3 linked regions of the Sus scrofa genome follow. The protein of the gene in region 2 interacts with the protein of the main gene of each other region in a pairwise test. Links are inferred from orthologs where the notes say so. Each region holds a gene or a part of one and is shown on either strand. Other genes may lie near its edges.

Evidence for each region. The genes of interacting proteins can lie anywhere in the genome.
Region 1: the proteins of KIF2A (region 2) and FAM13C interact in binary tests that used the Homo sapiens proteins (3 or more experiments, as listed by UniProt). The two-hybrid records come from large-scale screens. The link is inferred for Sus scrofa from reciprocal best matches to the Homo sapiens genes KIF2A and FAM13C.
Region 3: the proteins of KIF2A (region 2) and LARP1B interact in binary tests that used the Homo sapiens proteins (3 or more experiments, as listed by UniProt). The two-hybrid records come from large-scale screens. The link is inferred for Sus scrofa from reciprocal best matches to the Homo sapiens genes KIF2A and LARP1B.

Annotation. Positions count from the first base shown.
Region 1 is NC_010456.5:62,642,822-62,646,321, forward strand, and holds part of FAM13C (protein FAM13C), read right to left. Parts: intron 3,171-3,500; coding exon 2,960-3,170; intron 1,513-2,959; coding exon 1,374-1,512; intron 1-1,373.
Region 2 is NC_010458.4:41,068,983-41,072,482, forward strand, and holds part of KIF2A (kinesin-like protein KIF2A), read left to right. Parts: intron 1-267; coding exon 268-368; intron 369-2,262; coding exon 2,263-2,358; intron 2,359-3,500. UniProt on the Homo sapiens protein: Plus end-directed microtubule-dependent motor required for normal brain development. May regulate microtubule dynamics during axonal growth. Required for normal progression through mitosis. Required for normal congress of chromosomes at the metaphase plate.
Region 3 is NC_010450.4:96,838,943-96,842,442, forward strand, and holds part of LARP1B (la-related protein 1B), read right to left. Parts: coding exon 3,414-3,500; intron 3,102-3,413; coding exon 2,961-3,101; intron 1-2,960.

The DNA of each region.
Region 1 (3,500 bases), on a different chromosome or scaffold from region 2:
AGGGGTCAAATCAGAACTGCAGTTTCAGTCTATGCCACAGCCACAGGAACACAGGATCCTTAACCTACTGATCAAGGCCAGGGATTGAACCTGCATCCTCAAGAATACTATGTAGGGTTCTTAACCTGCTGAGCCACAAAAGGAAATCCACAAAACCTACCCATCTTTAACATGAACCCATAGCCTTAGCTGACACAACACAACTACCTTAAGAAAGTTATACATCTTTGGTGGACCTCTGTTTCTTCATCTGTACTATAAAGGCCGATCCTCATAATATGCGGAATGCCCTCTTGCTTTTAAAGACAGAAAGGAGCTGTGATTGACCTCAAGGAAGAGAAGGATCTTCAATGCCCTAAGGTTGTCTGGGAAGCCAATCTAATTTTTTTTTACATTTTTGCAAAGCTGAAAAACCACTCCTTGAAATTCCTCTTTTAGTGAAATTGAAGCCACTGTGGGAAAAACAGAACAGGAAGAACAGGAGAGTGGAATGTTACCCACTCTCTCCTCCCTCCCTAGAACCTATTCACACTACAGGGACCTGCAGATTGCCTCTGCACCAAGTGCTTAGTGAGCCTTTAATTATTTCAAGATCTATGAGACATTATTCCCTGTTCTTTTATTCTCATAACAAACTGTTCTGGGCCCTCTGCCAAAGAGCCAATATCTTTGTGCAATTCTACATGGATATAATTTTTCTCTATGCCATGGTCACCATTAAATAAAATCAATAAAACTAGCATTTGCCATCAGTACACTTGCCTCTGACTCTATTGTCTCTTATGTAAGAAAAGAAAAGCAACACTACAGCCCCAACATGAAGCCCAGTATTTCTCTGATTGGAAAGGGTGGATCAGGGTTTGTTCTTATGAGTGGTGTGAATAGACATCCCTTGATATGTCCTCATCAATCAACCAAAAAGTATTTTATTGTCAAAGAAAACTCTCTCTCCTTCGCTCTGTTCCACAATTAAGAGATTCTGCCTTTTGGGTCCTTAATAGGCTCTTATCAAAATGCAAATGTTAAAAAAAGTAAGAGCTCATTCAAAAGCTTCCCAAATTTCAGTCCTAGGAGTACTAGTGATAGGTTCCTCAGAGAAGAAAAAAGAAAGAAAGAAAGAAAGAAAGGATCAATAATCACATAGCCTGGAAATAAGAGTTAGAATTTGTTACTAGAAAGCACCTTAGCAGAGATCAGTTCACAGCACATGAGAACAAGACAGATTCAGGATGGACACTCAAGTTATGATAGGTCCTTCATTGGCCAATGGAAACTTAGCCATCCCCTAGCACAGAGAAGTGCTCAAAAAGGAAGGACAGAAAGCCCATACACCTCTGCCATAATCCACTCATTTCAAACCACAGGGTCCTTACCCGGTATTTCTTTTCTTGTTCAAATTTTTCTTCAAATTTCCGAATTTTCCGCTTGAGGCTCTGGATATGTTTGGTGAGCTGAGTAATGGTCGGTGGTTCCTTGCCTTCACCACAGCCACACCGTGAAGAACTTCGGGGCCTGTGATGATTATAGGGAGGGAAAGAATCACCAAAAATGTTGATCTTGAGGAGCTGTTATATAGCACAAAGAACTCTACCCAAAGTTCTGTGATCATCTAAGTGGGAAAAGAATCTGAAAGACAATGGAATTGTGTATCTGTATGACTGAATCACTTGATTGTACAGCAGAAATGATTACAATCTTATAAATCAACTATCCTTCAATAAAACTTTTAAAAATGAAAAACAGAACAAACAAAAAAAACGGTCTTCCAGTAAACCCTGCTGCTGGTCCACAAAGCCAGCTTCCTGGATTAACAGCGAGGTCCAGAGGCCAGGTCACTATTTGATGAGTAGCATCCACTCATTAATGGAAGCTCCTGATCAGAGAACAGGAAAATGTTATCAGGGACTTTTCAGTCTACAGACGTCAGAATATTAGCCTAGGAAATGCATTTCCTCAAGCTTGGAGACACTTTCAAGGAAGTTTTAGATGAGTAGTTAACTTTTCTTGTAACAGAGCCTTTGTGAATCTGCTGAAAGGAATGGACCCCCTTGCCAGAAAAATGTGTTCACTTTCTCAGAGGACAGACTTTACAGGAGTTATAACTCACTCACTCCCTCAGGTCCATCAGTAGACAGTCCATGGACCCAGGACTGCATAAATTCACAAATAATACCAGGAGGTATTCAGGAGAAACTAGAAATTCCTTGCACATATTTCCAGTTGAAGGAGACTCATTTTAGCTATGCATCAAAACTACATGTCAAATAAATAAATAAATAAAATTCTAAAAAGGAGTTCCCTTGCAGTGCAGCAGGTTAAGGATCCAGCATTGTCACTGCTGTGGCATGGGTCGCTGCTGTGTTGCAGGTTTGATCCCTGACCTGGGAACTTCTACTTGCCACAAGTGAAGAAAAGAAAAGAAAGAACTACTTGTGGAACTTAAAAAACAAGAAAACAGTTTCACAATATGTGTGTGTGTAGGAGCTATAAGAGCTACCACTTTTCTAGAATCTAAGAAGAAACTGAGACAAGACAACTTCCAAGCATTGCTACGATCCAGCCATCAAGGCCACCATTGGACATGGAAAGACATGAGCACATCAAGAATAATAATGAGTAGTCACTAAGACTACTTAGTGAGCACATCAAGAATGATATTCCTGATAGTTGCATGTACATCCATTTTCCTAGGATTCTGCTCATTTCACCAAAAATGTTCAAATACATGAGCCTGTTATCTTGAGACCATTTCCTCCTGAGACAGAAAGGCTTGAAGCAGCATTCTCAACTAGAAAACACACTCTTTTTTCTTTTTTTTTTCCATTCATTGTTCAGGGCTGCATGTGCATTCGGTAGGCACATTTGCTCTATTTTGGATATACCCTTCACTCTGGCTTATAAACGTAGTATTTGAAAAATGGCACAAAACAAAGATAAATACAGAACAAGGTTTCCTTACATCATAAACTGCTGAGTGCTGGGGGGAGAAGGGGCTGATTCAGGGTCTAAATTGAATCTCTGGCTTTGGCTGAAGATGGCGCATCGCGGTGACAGCAGTGGGTTGTCACCATCCGTGATGTGGTAGAGCAGCCTGCTAGTCTCAACAGACTGGAGGTCTTCAGGCGCACTGTCAACTTCATTCTGCCCATCTTTGTGGCCTGGCACAGAATCTGAGGAAACAAGATAAATCATCAAGACTCAGCAGAGACAGAGGGCTTGAGACTGTCATGTTCCTAAAAAAGATCATAAACATTCATTACAATGTCTTGCCTTTTTGTCATTTCTTCCTTCTGGGGATATGAAAGCCTTTCAAAATACTGTCATGTTTGTTCTCACAGAACCTGGATAGAAAATATGATAAAGCCAACACACACACACACACACACACACACACACACACACACACAAAATGGAAACACAAATTAATTCGGTATGAGTTATAGCATCAGCATAGACACAACTACAAAAATACTTTCTTTATTTCATACTATTTCCATAAG
Region 2 (3,500 bases):
TCTCCCATTCAGAGATCTTTGATTCTAAACCAAGAGATGGCATGTATCAGTATGTTAGAGTCATTTTTCTTGACTCTTATTTGTATATTGTCCTTTTCCTACTTTTGTTAAAGCAGCTCATAAGTAAAATTCACATATTGTTATAGGCATGTTTTGTCACTGTGTACCTTTTTTTGGTGTATGTGGTAAAATGACAAAATTTTTGTATGTAAGTGCACAGTACTCTAAAAGGAAACTATACTTTTACAGCTCATCTTTTTCTTTCAGCACGTAGAAAATCTAATTGTGTGAAAGAAGTAGAGAAGTTACAAGAAAAACGAGAAAAAAGGAGACTACAACAGCAAGAACTTAGAGAAAAAAGAGCCCAGGTTTGTAAAAGAAACACTTTGTTTATGCACCAACCAAAGATTAGGCTGTTTCAGTGAAAGTGATTGGCTTATGAAAAATAATTGTGGCATTCATTTAAAGATTTCAATATGGTTCCTTAAATCGATATTGAAAAATAATATAAACTATTGGGGAAGTAACTTATCATGACATATTTTCACTACATATGCTTTTCAAGTTTTAGTGGGTATGTGTTAGTCCTAAAGCTTACTCCATTTTGAATATTAAGCCATTGTGTTACAGAACTCTGATGGAAGTATAACATCAAGAATAATAGGATTTGGGCTTTTTAGAAGATCTAAAAACACATACAGAAAAAATACCCAGTTAAAGTGTATGGTTATACTATAAATTTTTTAGTTGTTTTTGCATGGTTAATAAGTTCAACATACAATGAAAGGGTGGAAATTCATTGTTTTGACTTATATTAAATGTTGACTTATACTAGGTGTTGTGTTCCTCCTCTCACGTTCCCTTTAGATGGTAGAATTTTATTAGCAACGGAAAAATTGCATAGAAGACTGGTCTTTTTATCCTTCTACAGGTCTTCACATATTAGAAATTCTGCTCTTGTACAGGTGATCATCCATTGTGCTTGCATTGTATCTGCTATATTCTTAGAACTTGTTTCTTGTAATAAAACATCAGGATCGTTTCCTTATTTAGGAGTACGTATGTTCAGATGACCTTAATCATAAAGATGTCATGTTGTAAAACTGTGGAATCCATATAATATTCAACCAGAATAAATCAGCTTCTATCTGAAAGTGACCTGAGAATGATCAGTTGAGTTTTGAAATAGTGCACAAAACAGATAGATCTGCTGCTACTTAACAAAGATGCCACCTGGTGTTTCCTGTGGGTACTTTATAGTATTTTTTTTCATCTTTGTGATCTCTTCTTACTTTAATTCTGCTTCTCACTTGACATAGTTGGTATTATTTCCCAGAAGTTTAATTGAAAGTAAGTTATATTTACAATTTTGAAATTTTATTGTACTCAGCAAATCTACATATAGTATATGGAAAAAATCTGGATTAAAAAAATTTTTTAACTACTCAATGAATTTATTACATTTATAGTTGCACAATGATCATCACAATCCAATTTTATAGGATTTGATAATTTATTACTCGTGGCTTGGAGATGCCACAAACTTTTGCTATTTGTATCTTAATCTGAATTTTCTCACTTTTGGAGCAAAAAGTAAACTGATGCTAGTGTTCAGTAATTGAATTTTAAAAATTATCTTGGCTTTTGATGCTTTAAATTCTGTGTCCTATTGATTTAGGAATGTTTTATACCATGTCTTAGTTTTTTTGTTTTTGTGTGTGTTTTTTTTTTTTTTTTTTTTTTTTTTTTTTTTTTTTTTTTTGAGAGAGAGTCAGTAGACGCTGGGAATGAACATAAATGAATCCATAGTTCTACTTTGCTGGAACATTGAATTAGGAATTGAGAAGAATCTGACTAAATGAGGTTTCTCTAAGTATTTCAGCTTTTCTAGAGTTCTTTGTTAATATTTAGGATGAGCACTCTTTCTATTTTACTCAATTTTCTAAGATAATTAAGGTATATGTATAATAGATGAATATTTGAAATAGGTTGAGTGGCCTTGATAAGGAGTATTTGGTTTGGAGTTAACAGAATGCATATAGACTAGCAGAATTGTGTTTCTAATATGAGAGTGATTCCTGGGTGTATTATTAATCTTAAATTCTGGAACTATCACATCTCCAGCTTGAATTTGGACTTGGCTGTTACAAATGACACAATTTATTAGCTTGAGTTTAATTTTCAAACCATACAATATAAATGCAACAAATACTACATTATTGTAATTACAATAGATGATGTGTTCTCTTTTTCTTCTTACAGGATGTTGATGCTACAAACCCAAATTATGAAATTATGTGTATGATCAGAGACTTCAGAGGAAGTTTGGATTATAGACCATTAACAACAGCAGATCCTGTAAGATTTTTTGCAAACAATTACCTGGAACTTTTTATGCTATGAATAAAAAGATGTTTAAAACCCTCTAAATTAATATTGTCTTTAGCTCTGTATTTTTTCTTCTCCTTATTAGTGCTCCTCCATATTTTAAGAAAATCGAGAAATCCATCCACATTCACCCTTGTTTCCAATGATTTAAAATGTTAGACATGCTTCTAACTTTAATTCTGCTTCCATTTCAAAGCAAAGCCTCCATGTGCTTGGTAGGGCGGAGCCACAGTCAAGGAGTGATGTTAGAAGTGTTGAAAGACCCAGTTTCCTTTCTGACCATCATTTATACTTTTATCTCAATTCCAGACTTATTTCCTCTTTGACTTGGGCTGATGATCCTACCATCAATCCAAGTTACTACTAATTAATTTATTATTTTTAAATAAATGCTATTCTGGCTTTTAACAATAAGTGATGATTGTTGAGGACTGCTGTAGACCAGAAATCTAGTGCTTGAAAAATGTTAGGTTGTCTTATCATGCAACCCCTTTCCTACTGAACAATGAGAACTTATTGTACAGGTAATATTTTTGTGAGTAATTCATACTTAGGAAAAATAATCTGTCTGACCTAGCATATACGGAATGTATGGAGTATACCAAACACACTTGTGTTAGGCAGACATTATGTCTGATTTAATAGAATAGTTCATGAAATTTGCATCTCATGTACTTTAGTCCTTGCTACTCCTCCATTTATTTAACCTACATCTGAGCTCATTCTTTACCACAGTGAGCGGCAAAATCTATTTGAAAAGGGCCAGATATTTTAGGCTTTGTGAACCAAATGGTCTTTGTTAGAACTACTGATTTTGACCTCTGTAGTATGAAAAGCAGCCATAGGAGTTCCCGTCGTGGCGCAGTGGTTAACAAATCCGACTAGGAACCAGGAGGTTGCCGGTTCGGTCCCTGCCCTTGCTCAGTGGGTTAACAATCCGGCGTTGCCATGAGCTGTGGTGTAGGTTGCAGACGCGGCTCGGATCCTGCGTTGCTGTGGCTCTGGCATAGGCCGGTGGCTACAGCTCCGATTGGACCCCTAGCCTGGGAACCTCCATATGCCGCGGGAGCGGCCCAAGAAATAGCAAAAAAAAGGTCTACAAACAATAAAGG
Region 3 (3,500 bases), on a different chromosome or scaffold from region 2:
GGCGTAGGCTGGTGGCTACAGCTCCGATTTGACCCCTAGCCTGGGAACCTCCATATCATATGCCGTGAGAGCGGCCCAAGAAAATGGCAAAAAGACAAAAAAAAAAAGAAAAGAAACACTGGTGGTGAGAATGTAAAATGGTACAACCTATTTGGAACAATTTCGCAATTCCTTATAAAGTTAAATATATATTTACCGTACTACCTATAGCAATCACTCCTAGATGTTTGCTCCAGACATATGCCCACACAAAGACTTGTACACAAGCATTCACGGCAGCATTACTCATAACAGCCAAAAACTAGATGCAACCAAATATCCATGAACAGATGAATGGATAAAGGGGTGTATCCATTCAACAGAAACTATTTTGGAACTTCCCTGGTGTCCTACGGCACAACTATGTGGCATCATCACTGCTTCGGCTCTGATTTGATCCCTGGCCCTGGATTTCCACATACCGTGGGTGAGGCCAACCAATTTTAACAAAAAAAAAAAAAAAAAAGGAAGGAAGGAGGGAGGGAGGGAAGAAAGAAAGGAAAGAAGGGAGAGAGAGAGGGAGAAACTACTCTGCAATAAAGAGGTAGAAACTACTAATACATAGAATAATACTGGAATTCCCACTGTGGCTCAGTGGAAATGAACCCGACTAGTATCCATGAGGATGCGGGTTTGATCTCTGGCCTCATTCACTGGGTTAAGGATCCAGCATTGCCAGGAACTGTGGTGTAGATGCGGCTTGGATCCTGCATTGCTATGGCTGTGGTGTAAGCTAGCAGCTGTAGCTCCAATTTGACCCCTAGCTGGGAACTCTCATATGCTGCACTGGTAGCCCTAAAAATTTTTTTAAAAATTAAAAATAGGAGTACCCGTTGTGCAACAGTGGGTTAAGAACCCATCTAATATCCATGAAGATGGGATTTTGATCCTTGGCCCTGCTCAGTGAGTTAAGGATCTGGTGTTGCTGCAAGCAGTGATGTAGGTCACAGACACGGCTCAGAGTTGCTGTGGCTGTGCCGTGTAGGCCAGCAGCTACAGCTCCAATTCAACCCTTAGCCTGGGAACTTCCATATGCCACAGGTGCAGCCCTAGGAGAAAAAAGAATTGTAGTTCCCATGGTGGCTCAGTAGTAACGAATCTGACTAGTATCCATGAGGACACAGGTTCGATCCCTGGCCTTGCTCAGTGGGTTAAGGAAACCAAGTTACTGTGAGCTGTGGTGTAGGTCGCAGATCTGGCATTGCTGTGGCTTTGGCGTAGGCTGGCAGCTACAGTTCTGATTCGACCCTTAGCCTGGGAACTTCCATATGCCCCAAGTGTGGTCCTAAAAAGCAAAAAATTAAAATTAAAAATTTTAAAAAAGAATAAAACTGATGAATGTGAAAATGATTATGCTGTGCAAATGAACACCAGAGTATATAACGTATATTGTATAATTCAATTTACATGAAATTCTCAAAAGATAAATCTAAACTGACAGAAAGTAGATGCATGGTTGGAGACTTGACAGTTCCTTTGAGTGTACTTTAATACATGTAATTATTAGTTCAGTAAAGCTGACTTACAAAAAAAGTGCAATCCTGTCGCACTGTGCACATATATCATAAACAAAAAAAGTGCAATCCTGTCGCACTGTGGCACATCAGATTGGCAGTGTCATGCAAGTGCTGGGATGCAGGTTCAATCCCCAGCCCAGCACAGTGTGTTAAGGATCCAGTGTTGCCACAGCTGAGGCTTAGGTTACAACTGCACCTCAGATCTGATTCCTGCCTGGGCTGGAGCGTTATATGTCTCGGGGCAACCAGAAAAGGGAAAAGGGGGTGGGGGGAGGGCAAAGGATCCAGAAATCACCTAGAAGAGGCTCCCATTAGACAATTCTGGGACAATTTGAGCATCAAGTTAAAACAACTGTAATAACAACTTCAATCACTGAAAACATAAATGGCCTTTAGTCCACACTGATTAATAAGAGGAAGTTATTCTCCACAGTGGAATGTCAACTAATACATATAGAAAGAATGATGCAATAAGACAAATTACCATTTGTAACAATCATGGTAAAAACTGAATCAGGCAAGAACAAGAACAATCAGTGGGGAGTTCCCACTGTGGTGCAATGGAAACGAATCTGACTAGGAACCATGAGGTTTCGGGTTCGATCCCTGGCCTCGCTCAGTGGGTTAAGGATCTGGTGTTGCCATAAGCTGTAGTGTAGGCTGGCAGCCATAGCTCCAACTGGTCCCCTAGCCTGGGAACCTCCATATGCTGTGGGTACAGCCCTAAAAATAAAAAAAATAAAAAAAAAATCAATGGAAACTAAAACTCATTTGAAAAGTTTGATGAGAAAAATGGGTATTCCCACAGCCTCAAAATCTCTCTACACAGCTTACACATTAATTAAAAAGGGAAAAGATTAACTTTACAATGAAGAAACCTAGAGTGCCTCATGTTGACCAAAGTACTCAAAGTTAGTACACCAATAATAAGATAAACCAATATCATGTATACTTTCAAATAATGCACTGCAAAGAAAACCATTTAACTTTTGTAGTACCCCTGCAAAAATTCATAACCCAATCCAATCAAGTGGAAACATCAGAAAACCCAAAGTGTAGTTACCACATAATAGTTCTACAGTCCTCAGAAAAAAATCAATGTTATACAGATAAAAGCAGATGTGTTCCAGATGAATGGAGACTAAAAGACAAGACAATTAAGGGCATGTGTGATCCCAAATTAGATCCAAGAAGAGGAGAAAAAACACTGTAAAGGGCATTATTGAGAAATTTTGCCTGAGGACAGGCATAGTGTAGTTCTTATACTATATACTCTGAAGGTATTGGAGGTTAAAGGAGCACAATGTCTGTAATTTACTCTCAAACACTTTATACTATATCTGGTTATTAAAATAATAAGCATTAAGATTAAATTAGTCCCTTTTCTCTTAGTATGTTACTTACTTCGTGTATCAGTTCTCCTACTGTTATGCGATGATTTATTTGTTTCAGGTTGACATCTTGAGCTATTGCGGGACCCTGGTCTTTCTTGACTGTCTGGTCTTATATCATCTAAGTGGAGTGGTACCCACTTGTGCTTATTAGCTTGAAGAAAACAAAATAAAATCATTTAATGACAAAAAAATAGTGATCACACGAATTTCCAAGGATATATCTATATTTCTATAGGTGGAATTTCAATCCATTTTTACTTTATATAGACTGTAAGACAAAAGACTAAAGCTTAAGATTTCAGAAATGTTACAAAAGCAAATCAGATACCACTGTAGATGGTATCCTGAAGAAATCCAAACTACTCATTGGTGACTACCAGGAGTCAACTGATTAAATACAATTTTCATTACTACAACTCTCTTCAAAAATTTAAAATCAAAATGAAGATGCAGATACACTAACCTCTCTTTCGTTGATTACTTGATTGAGCCTCATCCTCACTGACATTTTCACCAGGACCATCTAATTTTGTTTCTCTGCTTTCTTTGC